Linked DNA regions of Saccharomyces cerevisiae S288C. The protein of the gene in region 1 interacts with the protein of each later gene in a biochemical or structural test. Each region holds a gene or a part of one and is shown in the gene's direction. Other genes may lie near its edges.

What was found.
Region 2: the proteins of SMC5 (region 1) and TUB1 form a complex in vitro, tested with the Saccharomyces cerevisiae proteins (one study listed by BioGRID).
Region 3: the proteins of SMC5 (region 1) and MPH1 form a complex in vitro, tested with the Saccharomyces cerevisiae proteins (2 studies listed by BioGRID).
Region 4: the proteins of SMC5 (region 1) and MHF2 form a complex in vitro, tested with the Saccharomyces cerevisiae proteins (one study listed by BioGRID).

The regions. Positions count from the first base shown.
Region 1 is NC_001147.6:258,123-263,766, forward strand, and holds SMC5 (DNA repair ATPase SMC5), read left to right. Parts: upstream 1-1,800; coding exon 1,801-5,082; downstream 5,083-5,644. Other genes in the region: YOL036W (uncharacterized protein), read left to right, coding at 1-908; glutamate--tRNA ligase MSE1, read left to right, coding at 5,353-5,644.
Region 2 is NC_001145.3:97,440-101,348, reverse strand, and holds TUB1 (alpha-tubulin TUB1), read left to right. Parts: upstream 1-1,948; coding exon 1,949-1,973; intron 1,974-2,089; coding exon 2,090-3,408; downstream 3,409-3,909. Other genes in the region: YML083C (uncharacterized protein), read left to right, coding at 299-1,555. UniProt on the Saccharomyces cerevisiae protein: Tubulin is the major constituent of microtubules, a cylinder consisting of laterally associated linear protofilaments composed of alpha- and beta-tubulin heterodimers.
Region 3 is NC_001141.2:356,888-362,241, reverse strand, and holds MPH1 (3'-5' DNA helicase), read left to right. Parts: upstream 1-1,845; coding exon 1,846-4,827; downstream 4,828-5,354. Other genes in the region: AIM21 (Aim21p), read right to left, coding at 1-1,357; SGN1 (Sgn1p), read left to right, coding at 5,347-5,354. UniProt on the Saccharomyces cerevisiae protein: ATP-dependent DNA helicase involved in DNA damage repair by homologous recombination and in genome maintenance. Capable of unwinding D-loops. Plays a role in limiting crossover recombinants during mitotic DNA double-strand break (DSB) repair.
Region 4 is NC_001136.10:168,845-171,512, reverse strand, and holds MHF2 (Mhf2p), read left to right. Parts: upstream 1-1,904; coding exon 1,905-2,147; downstream 2,148-2,668. Other genes in the region: DExD/H-box ATP-dependent RNA helicase DHH1, read left to right, coding at 1-1,103; ENT1 (epsin), read right to left, coding at 2,435-2,668. UniProt on the Saccharomyces cerevisiae protein: DNA-binding component of a FANCM-MHF complex involved in DNA damage repair and genome maintenance. FANCM-MHF promotes gene conversion at blocked replication forks, probably by reversal of the stalled fork.

The DNA.
Region 1 (5,644 bases):
GGCAGCCCATGCTAATTCGACGATCTTCCACTATTGATAATAAACTACCTAGGAGGCAGCTTTCGTGCTCGAAGCTTTATTCGCGCCTCAATTCGGACAGCAAGTTTGCGAATAGCAGTCGAGCTTCGGAGGAGGTCTTAGTGTCCACTCCAAATGACACAGAACACGTCTACAGAAAGACATCTCTAGGTTCTAAGATAAAGAGAGGTTTTACTAGAATATTGAGCGACAGTAATAATAGTAAGGAAATTCTCACTTTATCACCCAAATCTATGGTGACTACGGGGCCTACAGAATTGTCGTTTTCCTCTTTATCAACCGTGGGAGGACATCCGACAACGCCAGTCTCAAAAGAAAATGATCGAGTTTCAATAGATGGCGTGAGTACATTTAATCGAGCATCAACATCTCTTCCAGAATCATCAACAGACGACATCTCTCCACTACGCGAAGAAGGTAAGATTAATGTTCCTAAAAGAACGTCAAGTAGAAAGATACTGTCTAAAAATTCAAGCAAAAAAAATGTACTGCCTGAACAGCAAACAAAGCCAAGTGAAATATATCTGGATAAAGAAGCCTTACAAAGTTTTGTTCCCGTACTCTCTGTCACAGAGGGTACTCATCGCATCAATCGCTCGTCGTTACAAACGCAATCTACCATCGGATTATGCATTACCAATTTAAGAAACAAAGAAGGCATGAAGCTCAATGCCAAGGAATACGTGGAAATCCTGGCTCAGCAGCAACGCAAGGAAGATGAAAGGTATGCTGTTTTGGAAAGAAAATTTGCATCTTGTAGATGGTGCAGTGATAAGGACCTGCAGTATTTGAAAAAGAAACGAATTTCCATGAATAAGATATGGTCTGATTATGTCCGATTTTACCGTGGAAAGTTGAACAACCCATGAAGGAAAAAGGTCTTGGCTATATATAACGGCAGACAAAATATAAGTATACACGTATATATGGTGGTAAACACGCATATACTGTATGCCATGTATTTACCATTACATAGTTATTTACGCACTCTATAAAAAGTTAACATTGCATTTTAATAAATTCCTTAAATTACTCTAATTAGGATGGTAGCCCTACCTTTTTTTTTTTTGGCACACATGGTCAACTTTTCTTCTCATGCTTTAAAAGGCGAGAAAAAATGAAAATTAGCAAAATGACCTTTCCCTCCTTCCCACATTGAATATATACACTGGAAGATATAAGCAACCAGTACTGTAGATAAAAAAGATCACTACGATATTCGTCGGACTCCAGTCGGAGTGCAGTGCCCGATTACTCTTAATTGCACGCATCGTGCCAAGTTTAATTGGTATTGCTCGAACATCTAGGAATAAGAGAAGGACTTACTTTAGAATGATGAAAGAGGTAGCAATTTGCAGCAGATTTTTCGTGATTGAATCAAACAAAGATTAACCTTTACAGAACCGCTACACTGATACTAATGTAAGAAACATTTCCTTTATTTTTTTTCTAGCCCGTAGTGTACTCTTATAGTTTTGATATTTCCTTTCTATCTTTGTAAATGTAAATAATCACATTTGTCTGACAACACACTTGTTGCCACTAATTATTTCAACAAGCTGGCATAGCTGATCTTATTAATCTTGTAGACCGTTCAGGATGACTGGGCTATATTATGGCGTTAACTTTCGCGTTGGATTACCTTTTTATGCGATGACAAGATGCCGATAATAGGTATTTACTTTCACAAGTACGTGTACGCAATTCTAAAGGAAGTATATCAAATAAAAGGGCGTGGTACATAAAAGCTATATCCCTAGCATGACCAGTCTAATAGATTTGGGCAGATATGTTGAAAGAACGCATCATGGAGAAGATACAGAGCCAAGATCGAAAAGGGTAAAAATCGCAAAACCTGACTTGTCTTCCTTCCAACCAGGCAGCATTATTAAGATCCGTTTACAGGATTTTGTTACTTACACTTTAACCGAATTCAATCTTTCACCGTCTTTAAATATGATCATTGGGCCAAACGGATCTGGAAAATCTACTTTCGTATGCGCAGTGTGTTTAGGATTGGCTGGTAAACCCGAGTATATTGGTAGGAGTAAAAAAGTGGAAGATTTCATCAAAAATGGTCAAGATGTTTCAAAAATTGAAATCACCTTGAAAAATTCACCAAATGTTACTGATATTGAATACATAGACGCACGTGATGAAACAATAAAGATTACCAGGATTATTACGAGATCCAAGAGGAGATCGGATTATCTAATAAATGACTACCAGGTATCTGAGAGTGTAGTTAAAACTTTAGTTGCTCAGCTGAACATTCAGTTGGATAATCTTTGTCAATTTTTATCTCAAGAGCGTGTTGAGGAGTTTGCTCGCTTGAAGTCAGTTAAATTATTAGTAGAGACTATAAGGTCAATCGATGCAAGCTTATTGGATGTGTTGGATGAACTAAGGGAATTACAAGGAAATGAGCAAAGCTTGCAAAAAGATCTCGATTTTAAAAAAGCTAAAATTGTTCATTTGAGACAAGAAAGTGATAAACTACGTAAATCAGTTGAATCTTTACGAGATTTTCAAAATAAGAAGGGTGAAATCGAGTTACACTCCCAACTATTACCTTATGTGAAAGTAAAGGACCATAAAGAAAAGCTAAACATATATAAAGAAGAATACGAACGAGCGAAAGCGAACTTAAGGGCTATACTGAAGGATAAAAAACCATTTGCAAATACTAAGAAGACTTTGGAAAATCAGGTGGAAGAGTTAACAGAGAAGTGTTCCCTAAAAACTGATGAGTTCCTGAAAGCAAAAGAAAAGATCAACGAAATCTTCGAAAAATTAAATACTATTAGGGATGAGGTCATCAAAAAGAAAAACCAGAACGAATATTATAGAGGAAGAACCAAAAAACTACAGGCCACCATTATTAGTACAAAGGAAGATTTTCTAAGGAGTCAGGAAATATTAGCACAAACACATCTTCCTGAGAAAAGCGTATTTGAAGATATAGACATTAAAAGAAAGGAAATTATTAATAAAGAAGGCGAAATTAGGGATCTTATTTCCGAAATTGATGCGAAGGCGAACGCTATTAATCATGAGATGAGAAGCATACAGAGACAAGCTGAAAGCAAGACCAAATCCCTTACAACAACTGATAAAATCGGTATCTTAAATCAGGACCAGGATTTAAAGGAGGTCCGTGATGCTGTGTTGATGGTTAGAGAGCATCCAGAAATGAAAGATAAAATTCTAGAACCGCCAATAATGACCGTGTCTGCCATTAACGCTCAATTTGCTGCATATTTAGCACAATGTGTGGATTATAATACGAGTAAAGCCTTGACTGTTGTTGATTCTGATTCTTACAAGCTATTTGCAAATCCAATTCTTGACAAATTCAAGGTTAATTTGAGAGAACTCTCCAGTGCAGACACCACCCCTCCTGTACCAGCGGAAACGGTGAGGGACCTGGGATTTGAGGGTTATCTATCCGATTTTATTACCGGTGATAAGAGGGTTATGAAAATGCTTTGTCAAACTAGCAAAATTCATACTATACCGGTATCAAGAAGGGAATTGACGCCTGCTCAGATAAAGAAGTTGATTACACCAAGACCGAATGGGAAAATTCTTTTTAAAAGGATTATTCATGGGAATAGGTTAGTCGATATCAAGCAATCAGCATATGGTAGTAAGCAGGTCTTTCCTACTGACGTTAGTATTAAACAAACTAATTTTTATCAGGGATCAATCATGTCAAATGAGCAGAAAATTAGAATTGAAAATGAAATTATCAACTTAAAGAATGAATACAACGATCGAAAATCTACGTTAGATGCATTGTCAAACCAGAAAAGTGGTTATAGGCACGAATTATCTGAGTTGGCGTCAAAAAACGACGATATTAATAGGGAAGCTCATCAATTAAATGAGATTCGCAAGAAGTACACTATGAGAAAAAGTACAATAGAGACTTTAAGAGAGAAATTAGATCAACTGAAACGTGAAGCTAGAAAGGACGTATCTCAAAAGATTAAAGATATTGATGATCAGATCCAACAACTATTACTCAAGCAAAGACATTTGCTGTCTAAAATGGCCTCTTCAATGAAGAGTTTAAAGAATTGTCAGAAGGAGTTAATAAGTACTCAAATCCTTCAATTTGAAGCCCAAAATATGGATGTTTCTATGAATGACGTAATTGGTTTTTTCAATGAGAGGGAAGCTGATTTGAAGAGCCAATATGAAGACAAGAAAAAGTTCGTAAAAGAAATGAGAGACACTCCTGAATTTCAATCATGGATGAGAGAAATCAGGTCTTATGACCAAGACACTAAGGAAAAATTGAATAAAGTGGCAGAAAAATACGAGGAGGAAGGGAATTTCAATCTGTCATTCGTTCAGGATGTTCTCGATAAATTAGAATCGGAGATAGCTATGGTAAACCACGACGAGTCAGCCGTAACAATTTTGGATCAAGTCACAGCCGAACTGAGAGAGTTGGAGCACACGGTTCCTCAGCAGTCGAAAGACTTGGAGACCATTAAAGCTAAATTAAAAGAAGATCACGCAGTTTTGGAGCCCAAATTAGATGATATTGTATCAAAAATCTCTGCAAGATTTGCGCGCTTATTCAACAATGTTGGGAGTGCTGGTGCGGTTCGTCTAGAAAAGCCGAAGGACTATGCTGAATGGAAGATAGAAATCATGGTAAAATTCAGAGATAATGCACCTTTAAAAAAGTTAGATTCCCACACGCAATCAGGTGGTGAAAGAGCTGTTTCTACAGTTCTTTACATGATTGCTTTGCAAGAGTTTACCTCTGCACCATTTAGAGTGGTTGATGAAATCAATCAAGGTATGGACTCTAGAAATGAAAGGATCGTTCATAAAGCTATGGTGGAGAACGCGTGTGCCGAAAACACTTCTCAATATTTTTTAATCACTCCAAAATTATTGACTGGCTTGCATTATCATGAAAAGATGAGAATACACTGTGTCATGGCTGGTTCTTGGATTCCAAACCCTTCTGAGGATCCGAAGATGATACATTTCGGTGAAACTTCTAACTACTCATTCGATTAATCTTTCACTATTGCATAATTAATTATACACATATAGATGTAAACATGTTTATAACCAAGACGTTTGGTCTCATCTAGCAAAAATGTCTTCTAGTGTCAGCTGTCTTACCTCACAAATGTAAGGCTTCACCAAATAAAGAACTAATTAAATAGAACGCGCTTAAGAAAAGCTGCAATAATTAATTTCTTATATTAAATTCGAGGCACCAAAGCAAGCAACCGCTACATGACAAAAATCTAATCTGGTACAGAAGAACTATAAAATAACAATATGATCATGTTGAGAATACCGACACGGTCTTATTGTTCACCTTCGAAGCTAATAAAGGGCGTAGGTCTCTCACCATTGAAGAAATCTCTGTTATCCAAGAAAATAAAGGAAGATATCCATCCTTCTTTACCTGTTAGAACTAGGTTTGCGCCTTCTCCAACTGGGTTTTTACACTTGGGGTCACTGAGAACAGCCCTTTACAATTACCTATTAGCAAGAAACACCAATGGGCAGTTTTTGCTTCGTTTAGAAGATACAGACCAGAAGAGGCTAATAGAGGGAGCAGAAGAAA
Region 2 (3,909 bases), on another chromosome or scaffold:
ACTGCTTGCCTAGGAGTACCGCAGGAACGGTACGAATCGAGTGGAGACAGCAAACCTTGACGTGTGCTTGCTTTTAAACGGGTCGGAGAATTTACTCTTGAGCATATACGTGTGGGCATATGCATACAAATATATAAATACATTCGGGTGTATACGTAAATATATAAATATATAAAGTAACATATGTATATAAAGACGAAAGATTGAACGCCATCGTGGAGAGGGTTTTCGTATGAAGGTGCCTTAAGTCTTGTGTAGAAGTAGTTCTTTAGTTAAGATAGAACCTGGTAAAGACTCAATGGACTATTTACATGTATATAACAACAACCAGGCGCACGTTCCCAGAACACCTCCAGGCAGGCAGTGCCTATCGCCCGTTCTGCCCCCAATCATATTGGCGTTAGATCAACAACATTCGCTGACATTTGGGTACTCCAGCCCCAGGTGCTTGCCAACACCCATATTGCCTTCTATGAGCACAAATACGCCCGTCCATTGGTCACAACAGGTTGTCACTATCCCTGTCGCTGTACGAAATCATGCCGCAATGATGCCTATTATCACACCTATGACCTCCCCAAGACCTCAGTTTGAAGCAACGGCTCCCTCACCCCCTTTGGCCCCGGTCGCCATAAAGCTGCCAGATTTGAAACTACCACCGTCGCCTGTGCCCAGCACAGTAGAGGACAGAGTTTCACATCCTATCCTGCCCAAAATTGTGATCGGGAATGGCGGCGGCCGTGATGTTGAGCGAGATAGTACCGAGGAATTAATTAGGAAGATTCCAAACTACATTGGTTGTGCAAAAACAAAGGCACAATTGAGCAAAGTTAGGTCTGGTAAACAACTAATTGCATGCGCACAGGAATATCACCATCCAGTAAACAAGGACGAGATCGAAAATATCAACAACATTCTAAACTTCAGGGACTTTATTTTCAAGCATCCAAAATCCTCCTTCGAGTTCCTATGTACCCTGTCGTTTGAGCAGTTCGTTAGAGTATATTCATTCATTAGTTTCATCTACAGGACAAAGAAAATCAATAAGAACAAGTACGAACTCGTTTGTGAGATGAATGTTCACGAGCAACTCAGCAATAAGCGTATACAAAGAACAAGGACTCCTGAAAAGTACAAAATACATTTGATCTGCGAGTCAAAACTCATACTGACCTTCAACCACTGTACGAAGACAGTAAAATTTGAGTCTATCAATGGCGGGCACTGCCATCCGATTTCAGCCAACCACATTATCAAGCCCTCCCTCTTCCTTACCCACTGCATTAATAAATGCTACCAGACCGTGTCAGACCCTACCGATTTGAAATTGGCATTGAGAGACGCCTTAGAAGCCCTTGATCATGAAAGGATAGGATTGTCTTTCTTAAAGAGGAGACATTTCAAGTGCTCACACCAAGCATCATCACTCTCGAATGCCAGCGCCACATTGAAGAAACAAGAAGATCATGACACATTTGGTGTACATACAGGAATAATTCATACGGCAAATTTCTTCATGTTTAATGCATCTAGCGATATATTCCAGAGGAACTAACATATATAAATATCTGTATCCTTCTTTAAGAAAACACAATTGCATACTTTTTCCATTATAACTGACTGTTTCAGATCCTGCAATAGAAAGTATTTTTTAAGTAATGAAATAGTGCTTCCATTGATAGTAAGTGAGTAATAAGACGATCGGAAACTATTAATATAAGTATAGTTTACATATATATATATATATATGTGCCAGACGATAATATCACCGTAGTTTCCGGCCGGGTTATGCCACGCGAAAACGCCTCGAGCCAAGGGAAAAACTAAACTACAAAACAAAACAAAACAAAACAAAAACATCTACTATATCGTTTTACCCAATTCAGTATATCCGTCTACAACAGTTCTCGCCACCCAAGATCTGTAAACTTACAACTGCAAACAAACAATGAGAGAAGTTATTAGTATTAATGGTATGTTCGATTTGCCCGTCCAGGCTAGATCTTTTTTTTGTTAGTTCATTTTGGCGTTTCATCTTTCATTACTAACTTCAACGCAAAATTTTTTTTTTTTTGATTTCTCTTTACAGTCGGTCAAGCTGGTTGTCAGATTGGTAATGCCTGTTGGGAATTATATTCCCTTGAGCACGGTATTAAGCCGGATGGACATCTAGAAGATGGCCTTTCAAAGCCGAAGGGAGGAGAAGAGGGTTTCTCCACGTTTTTCCATGAAACCGGCTACGGTAAGTTCGTTCCAAGGGCTATTTACGTGGATTTAGAGCCCAACGTTATTGACGAAGTCCGTAACGGTCCTTACAAGGACTTGTTCCATCCAGAACAGTTGATCAGTGGTAAGGAGGACGCGGCTAATAATTATGCAAGAGGCCATTACACCGTTGGTAGAGAAATTTTGGGCGATGTTCTGGATAGGATTAGAAAACTGGCAGACCAATGTGATGGGTTACAAGGGTTCTTGTTTACCCATTCTCTTGGTGGTGGTACTGGTTCCGGTCTAGGGTCCTTACTGTTGGAAGAACTATCCGCTGAATACGGTAAGAAATCCAAGCTGGAATTTGCCGTATACCCTGCTCCACAAGTGTCTACTTCTGTGGTTGAGCCTTACAACACAGTTTTAACTACACATACTACATTGGAACATGCAGATTGTACTTTCATGGTCGATAATGAGGCTATTTACGACATGTGCAAAAGAAACTTGGATATCCCAAGACCAAGCTTTGCAAACTTAAACAACCTAATTGCTCAAGTGGTATCATCTGTTACAGCATCATTGAGATTCGACGGTTCATTAAATGTAGATTTGAACGAATTTCAAACCAATTTGGTTCCATATCCAAGAATTCATTTCCCCTTAGTTTCATATTCTCCAGTCTTATCCAAATCAAAGGCATTCCATGAGTCCAACTCTGTGTCAGAAATTACAAACGCTTGTTTTGAACCTGGTAACCAGATGGTCAAGTGTGATCCAAGAGATGGTAAATACATGGCTACTTGTCTGTTATACAGGGGTGATGTGGTAACAAGAGATGTTCAAAGAGCTGTCGAGCAGGTGAAAAACAAGAAGACCGTCCAATTGGTTGATTGGTGTCCAACTGGTTTCAAGATCGGTATTTGCTACGAACCTCCAACTGCCACACCAAACTCACAATTGGCCACTGTGGATAGGGCCGTCTGTATGTTGTCAAATACCACATCCATTGCTGAGGCTTGGAAGAGAATCGATAGAAAATTCGATTTAATGTATGCCAAACGTGCTTTCGTCCACTGGTATGTCGGTGAAGGTATGGAAGAAGGTGAATTCACCGAAGCTAGAGAAGATTTGGCTGCTTTAGAAAGAGATTACATCGAAGTGGGTGCCGACTCATACGCTGAGGAAGAGGAATTTTAAGGTTCACTCTCGCCCCCAACCTCCTTATCCTTTCTATATTTCAAGTATATTGTAAAAAAAAAAATTCCCCCTACTGTTATATCTCTTTGGTGATATCTTATCTATAATCTACTTATTATATTTCTCTAATATCTATGTACAAAAAATAAAAAAAAAAACCATTCTCCTTCTCTAACCTGCATTTGATGAAAGCTTAGTAAGTCTCATCGTAGTTGATGGGCCAAAGACATTTGTACTTGTTTCATCAGATTCTTACATCACCCATTTCCATGATTATTTCACGGATTTCATTAGTAATTGCATTTTTGTATCCCTAGTTCCTTTTCTCCCGCCTTGCCGTCGAATTGAAAAAAAAAATGGAAATGAGGACATCTTCCATTGATATCCAGGACAAAGCAAGAGTAGAAGTAACTATTAGCAAGGAGAATTCCAAAAATAGTGAACTTCAAGGTAAGCAGATCTATAGTTTCAATATCTGATTTTCTGCTTTTCAAAACTTAA
Region 3 (5,354 bases), on another chromosome or scaffold:
TCAATTTGCTCGTAAAATCTGCCTTCGTGGTATCGCTAGTAATAGAAGAATCTGTGTGTTTTTTAGCAATATCTGCTGAAGCGGTAGTAGCTGAAGAATTACCATTATTATGCAGATCTTGTTGCTGTTGTTTTTGTAACATTTCTTGAAAGGCCGCAATTCTTGAAGAAGGTTTTTTGGGAACCGGAGGTGGGGCACGTCTCTTTGGTCTTTCAGAGGGAATTTTTGGGATTTTACTTTCCTCTTCGGTACTAATTAGGGTCGAATCACACTCTTCTGATACTCGCTTCTCTTGTGTGTTAGGCAACTCCTCTTTTTGTACGTGTGCTTCAAAATCCTTCTTAGGCCTACTCCTTGGAATCACTGGAACGTCATTTTCCTCTTCACTTGCAATTTGTGAAGGAACGTTTGAGCTAGTTGCTGCTATAACTGTTTCAGTATCAGAAGGTCCTTGCGGCTGAGAATTCACTTCCATGTTGTCCTTGCCTTCTTGTTTCTCATTCAAAGAGGTAGTACTTTCTTCATCGGTTGGATTTTGGAAAATTTTTTCTTCCTGTTGTTCTTGATGCTTCTGTAGCTCTTCTAAACTAGATTCAGGATGTTTAGTGAACTTTTCAGCTTTGTCGTCTGATTCTGTGATTCCAGATGGAGGCAGAGCATTGAGGCTGCCTTCTTCTACGTCCTTACTAACATCTACCTGTACTTTCATATCTCCAGGAATGAGCTTTTCTTCAAAATGGCTTCTATCCCCTGCCTCATTATCTAGGGCAGCATGTACCTTTTGCTTTTCAGTAAGGTCTTCGGAGTCACTATGCTCTGTCACTTCATTATTAGACTTGTTAACTAAATTAGAAGGTGAAATAGCAGACTCATTGCCCTCAGCACCCTCGTGCTCATTTTTTTCGAGTGGGGAGGGATTTGTAGAAGTTTTGTTATCTGATGCACTTCTTTGCCCGTTTTGATGAATGGCGGCCACCTTTCCCTCTTCCACAGAAGTTGGACTTTTTTTCCTGGAAACATTGTGTATATTGTGCTTTGAAATCAAACTTTCAATCTCCTCTAACTCCTTACTGGTGTTATTCATTACATTATTTAGTTCTTCAGTAGTGGAGCGTCTAACTGGCCTCTGCAATGGTACCTTGGGCAAACTCTCTTGATCCATACCACTCTCAAACGAAGTCATCGTCTTTGCTTTAAGTATGGGTCTACGTGTTGGTACATTGGGCGTTCCTGCTGGTGTTGGTGGCTCGCTATTAGCTTTAATATCTCCTGATTCAGAGCCGGATAACGGAAACAGCTCAGATGTCTTCCTCCTTGAGGGCCTCTCAGGTACTTTTGGCGTAACTTCCGATGGCATTGTATAATCGGTCAAAATAGATTTCCTGTTAGATCACCAACAAAACATGATACTTTCTAAATCAGAAAGCTTAAATTAAAATATACTCAATATTTCTCCTTTTCTTTTGCTTCGCGCCTGGTAAAACAAGATTGCTTTCATTGTGCATGTGGTAGAAAAGACAAGTTAAAAAAGGAGAATGTACTAACACAAAATTCAAACTCCAAAGGGGATAATTGCACTCAATTTGCAAGGTTGTTCCATATGAGACAGGAGTCTTCTTCTCCATCGACCTTCCTAGCTTACTGTGCTCACAGAAAGACATAAACCGGGTAACGGCTTTTACGGGGTTACGTGTGTATATAACCGGGCATCACGAAGAGATCAATAGAGGTGCCCTATGCTCTATCACGGAGCTAAGATATTGTGATTCAAGATATAGTAGCTCACTTCAGTTTTATTCAACACATTCCGGTTCTGTTTTATTTTAGTGTCCTTTTTTCTCTCTGATGGCTAGTGCAGATGATTACTTTAGTGATTTCGAAGATGACGAGCTGGATAAACTGTATGAAAAGGCTATCAATAAATCTGTGAAGGAAACTATAACGAGACGTGCTGTACCAGTTCAAAAAGACCTTCATGATAACGTTTTACCTGGGCAGAAAACTGTGTACGAAGAAATTCAAAGAGATGTCAGTTTTGGACCCACTCATCATGAGCTTGATTACGATGCTTTGTCGTTCTACGTGTACCCTACAAATTACGAGGTAAGGGATTATCAGTATACAATTGTTCACAAATCACTGTTTCAAAATACGTTATGCGCCATCCCAACGGGTATGGGTAAAACGTTCATTGCCAGTACAGTAATGTTAAATTATTTTCGTTGGACCAAAAAAGCCAAAATAATCTTTACTGCTCCAACAAGACCTTTGGTAGCCCAGCAAATTAAGGCATGCTTAGGTATAACAGGAATACCTTCGGATCAAACTGCTATATTACTCGATAAAAGCAGGAAAAATAGAGAAGAAATTTGGGCCAATAAGAGAGTTTTCTTTGCCACACCGCAAGTAGTGGAGAATGACTTGAAGAGGGGTGTATTGGATCCTAAGGATATTGTATGTCTTGTCATCGATGAAGCTCACAGAGCTACTGGCTCCTCTGCGTATACAAATGTGGTAAAATTCATAGATAGGTTCAATTCATCATACAGATTATTAGCATTGACCGCTACACCAGCCTCTGACCTGGAAGGTGTCCAAGAAGTGGTTAATAACTTAGATATTTCCAAGATTGAAATTAGGACTGAAGAAAGCATGGATATCGTGAAATATATGAAGAAAAGAAAAAAGGAAAAAATTGAAGTGCCCCTTTTGTTGGAAATTGAAGACATAATCGAACAATTAGGTATGGCCGTCAAACCAGTGCTTCAACAGGCAATTGAACTCGGTATATATGAGGAATGTGACCCTTCACAAATAAACGCCTTCAAAGCCATGCAACAAAGCCAAAAAATTATTGCTAACCCTACTATACCTGAAGGAATTAAGTGGAGGAACTTCTTTATTTTACAGTTATTGAACAATGTGGGTCAAATGCTAAAGAGATTAAAAATTTATGGAATAAGGACATTTTTCAATTACTTCCAGAATAAATGTACAGAATTCACTACGAAATATAATCTTAAAAAATCTACTAATAAAATTGCAGCTGAGTTTTATTACCATCCGATTTTGAAAAACATCAAAAATCAATGCGAAAATTATTTAAGTGATCCAAAGTTTGTCGGTCATGGGAAGTTACAATGTGTTAGAGATGAACTAATGGACTTTTTTCAGAAAAGGGGTTCCGACTCGAGGGTTATTATTTTTACAGAATTAAGAGAAAGCGCACTTGAAATTGTGAAGTTCATAGACTCGGTAGCTGACGATCAAATCAGGCCTCATATTTTTATTGGACAAGCTCGTGCAAAAGAAGGTTTTGATGAGGTCAAATACACAAGAAAACATGCGCCAAAGGGAAGGAAGAAGGTAGAGAGATTGCATAGGCAAGAGCAAGAGAAATTTTTGGAAGCTGAACGAACTAAGAGAGCGGCGAATGATAAACTTGAAAGAAGTGCCAGACGAACGGGGAGCTCTGAAGAGGCTCAGATTAGCGGAATGAACCAAAAAATGCAAAAAGAGGTTATCCATAATTTCAAAAAGGGTGAATATAATGTTCTCGTTTGTACATCAATTGGAGAAGAAGGTTTGGATATCGGAGAAGTTGATTTAATAATCTGTTATGATACTACAAGTAGTCCAATCAAAAATATTCAGCGTATGGGTAGAACAGGCAGAAAACGAGATGGTAAGATAGTACTACTGTTTAGCAGTAATGAATCATACAAATTCGAGCGTGCTATGGAAGACTATTCAACCCTGCAAGCGCTTATATCCAAGCAATGCATTGACTATAAAAAATCAGATCGGATAATCCCTGAAGACATTATTCCGGAATGTCACGAGACATTGATCACGATTAATGATGAAAACGAAATAATTAATGAAATGGAAGATGTTGACGAAGTTATTCGTTATGCGACTCAGTGTATGATGGGCAAAAAGGTGAAGCCAAAAAAAGCCATAACAAAGAAGAAGAGAGTTCAGGAAAATAAAAAACCGAAGAAGTTCTTTATGCCTGATAATGTTGAGACCAGTATTGTTAGTGCAAGCACTTTAATTAATAAGTTCTTGGTGAATGAAAGTGGCGGGAAACAACTAGTAACGAGTAATGAAAACCCAAGTAAGAAGCGGAAGATTTTTAAAGCTTTGGATAATCTGGAGAATGATTCAACCGAGGAAGCTTCCTCCTCATTAGAAACTGAAGATGAAGAAGTCAGTGATGATAATAATGTTTTCATTGCGGAAGGGCAGAATGGATGCCAAAAAGATTTGGAAACTGCCATTATTCGCACTGGCGAAAGTCTTACCACACTCAAGCCACTTCATAATTTTGAACGCCCTAATATGGCTTTATTTGTGAATGATTGTGGTCTTCCAACTAAAATCGAGAAAAATGTGAAAGACATCCGAGGAAATCAACACAACCTTGAAAAAGAAAAGAGCTGTACTGTTGACAAGAATAACATGGTATTGAGTTTGGACGATTGGAATTTTTTCAGAAACCGCTATATCCCAGAAGGTGTTTCCTTCGATGTGGAGCCCAATTTTGTACAATACACCAAAGGGGTAAAAGTTCCGCATTGTCACAAAGTTTCAAAAATCATTACGTTATTTAACGACGAGAGTAATGATAATAAGAAGAGGACAATTGATATGAACTATACTAAATGTTTGGCGAGAGGCATGTTACGAGACGAAAAAAAATTTGTAAAAGTTAACGATAAAAGTCAAGTCGATAACAACAGTGTCAACCATGATTCATCCCAATCTTTTACCTTATCGAACGCAGAATTAGATGACATACTGGGCTCAGATTCTGATTTTTGATAGGAGACTCTTATACGTCGGCGTCTATACAAAAATAACGCTGCTGTAATATTTAAGTATTTATAGATTTTTCTATATATCGCATAAATACTTCAAGGACATTATATTTTTAGTATCAACTTATTTTCTTTAGAATTTTTCATTCATTAAGGATACGGCACTGTTTTTGAAGCAACAAAATATAAAAATTGAGCCAACGACGAGTACAATCTGTAATCTTCCACGCCTACCAATGCAAAACCTTTCTGTCATGAAGCACTAAGCATAGCGCTTCAATTTGTGGCAATCACCATAATAAACAGCTTGTTTCTTGGAGGATATGAAAAAGATTATCAATCATTCGTTAGGTGAAAAAAAACCGCAACAATTTCCTACACTCCGAAAAGTAACCTTAAAATGCAGCAAATTTCAAATTTAATTTTGATTAAGTAAGTAATCTCAACTTTCGCTCTCCAACCAGGCCTATTAACATAAACATATATCTGCTGTCACATAGTGTCATCATTTGCAATTGCTGTTATGTCCCA
Region 4 (2,668 bases), on another chromosome or scaffold:
ACTGTGGTATTTCATGTATGGTGACCACTGGTGGTACCAATTTGAGAGACGATATTCTAAGATTAAATGAAACAGTCCATATTTTGGTTGGTACTCCTGGTAGAGTGTTGGATTTAGCTTCGAGAAAAGTAGCAGATCTGTCTGATTGTTCATTATTCATCATGGACGAAGCCGATAAAATGTTATCTCGTGACTTCAAGACAATAATTGAACAAATCTTATCCTTCTTACCTCCAACTCACCAATCTTTATTATTTAGCGCTACTTTCCCACTAACGGTTAAGGAATTCATGGTTAAACATCTGCATAAGCCTTATGAAATTAATTTGATGGAAGAATTGACTCTAAAGGGTATTACTCAATACTACGCCTTTGTTGAAGAAAGACAAAAGCTACATTGTTTAAATACTTTATTCTCTAAGCTTCAAATTAATCAAGCCATTATTTTTTGTAATTCTACTAACCGTGTCGAATTACTAGCCAAGAAAATCACTGATTTAGGCTATTCCTGTTATTACTCTCATGCAAGAATGAAGCAACAAGAAAGAAATAAAGTTTTCCACGAATTTCGTCAAGGTAAGGTTCGTACATTGGTCTGCTCCGATTTATTGACCCGTGGTATCGATATTCAAGCCGTTAATGTCGTTATCAATTTCGATTTCCCCAAAACGGCAGAAACATATTTACATCGTATTGGTAGATCCGGTAGGTTTGGCCACTTGGGTTTAGCAATCAATTTGATTAACTGGAATGATCGGTTTAACCTTTATAAAATCGAACAAGAACTGGGCACTGAAATTGCGGCTATTCCGGCCACTATCGATAAGTCATTGTATGTGGCTGAAAATGACGAAACGGTACCTGTCCCATTCCCGATAGAGCAACAGAGCTATCATCAACAAGCGATACCTCAGCAACAATTACCATCTCAGCAACAATTTGCTATTCCTCCGCAGCAACATCATCCACAATTCATGGTTCCTCCTTCGCATCAGCAACAACAGGCGTATCCTCCACCGCAAATGCCATCGCAGCAGGGGTATCCTCCACAGCAGGAACATTTCATGGCGATGCCACCTGGTCAGTCACAACCCCAGTATTAAAGAATATCTAAGAAAAAATAACTACTGTGGTGAGATACGCTTTTTTTGTGATCTAATCGTCGATTATTTTTATCTTTTTTCAAATCTCCATTGTGAATTACATTACTTTGTAACCATACTTTTACTATTGATTTTGAACAAGAATCAGTCGTAATTTAATTTTTGTCTCTGCTTTTTTATTTTTTTATCCGTTTTCTCTAGTTTCTGTGCTGATTTTTTTATCCTCATTTGCGCACCGTTTTTATTACTATCACTTTGTTATTTCTTTTTGTTTCTCTAAAATTATCTCAAACCACTTCATTCTTTTACCAGTCATTGTTGTAACCAATACTACCGTCCATATCAAGAGCTCAAGTGCACTTGCCCAGTTTCATCGACACTTTCGCTTTTAGCTAACTTTTATTGTTATAATTTCCACAATAAACTATTCATTTCAACTGACAAGATGAAACTTTCTTTGAATATTCTTTCTTTTTTTGAGTTTTTTTTTTTTTAAAAGCTTTTTTTTTTTTTTTTTTATAGAGAGTAATCTCAAGGAAAGAATATTAATACTGTGTATATATATATATATATATACATATATATATAAAACTGTTTAGATAAATTAACCAACCAAAAAGATACATGTATTTTTATTATTTTTACCTATTATTTTTTACTTTGCTGCATCTTCATGTTTCCGGGAGACCAGAATTATCTTTCGGGCCAAAATATCAAAAATCAATCATACATAAAAGCGTGTTAGAATTTACATTATTGCACTTAGAAAGGACATGAGTACAGAGCACAGTAATTGTGGTGATGTTATCTAAAGAAGCGTTAATAAAAATCCTCAGCCAAAATGAAGGTGGTAATGATATGAAAATTGCCGATGAAGTAGTACCAATGATACAGAAATATTTGGATATATTCATTGATGAGGCGGTGCTGCGGTCCTTGCAATCTCACAAGGACATTAACGGAGAACGTGGCGATAAAAGTCCCTTAGAGTTATCGCATCAAGATTTAGAGCGTATCGTAGGGCTTCTTCTGATGGATATGTAAAAGTATTCAACTTACATTACATCCATGTAAAGACATAAGACATTCCTGGTTGTCTGATAAATTTAAAGCACTATATTTTCTTTCAGTCGTCCTGAACTACGTTAGTTTACTAAAGTAGTTTTTGGAGCGATCGTGCGCTCACATATACAAATATACAGTTCATTTTATACTAAACGCTTGCATCAAAACGCGCTGTGAAATGATTAAATTACTTAGTCCATATATATTATGCGATGCGAGAAAATGCTCATCTGATTAGAAATGCGGACTGGAATGACAGAATCACTTCATAAATCAATTAGAGTATATCCCCGGTTATTTGAGCCATTATTTTGAGACTGCTGTTGAGACTGGTTACCAAAGCCATAGCCTGTTTGTGTTGGTACGACGCTAGTGCTTGGTAAACCTGTATACTGACTGTTCAAAAACGGATTGTGGTTTGGATCATCCGATACTTGCCTATATCCTGTTCCTTGAGAATTGATGAATGTTCCTGTCTTCGTATGTTGGGCAGGAATACG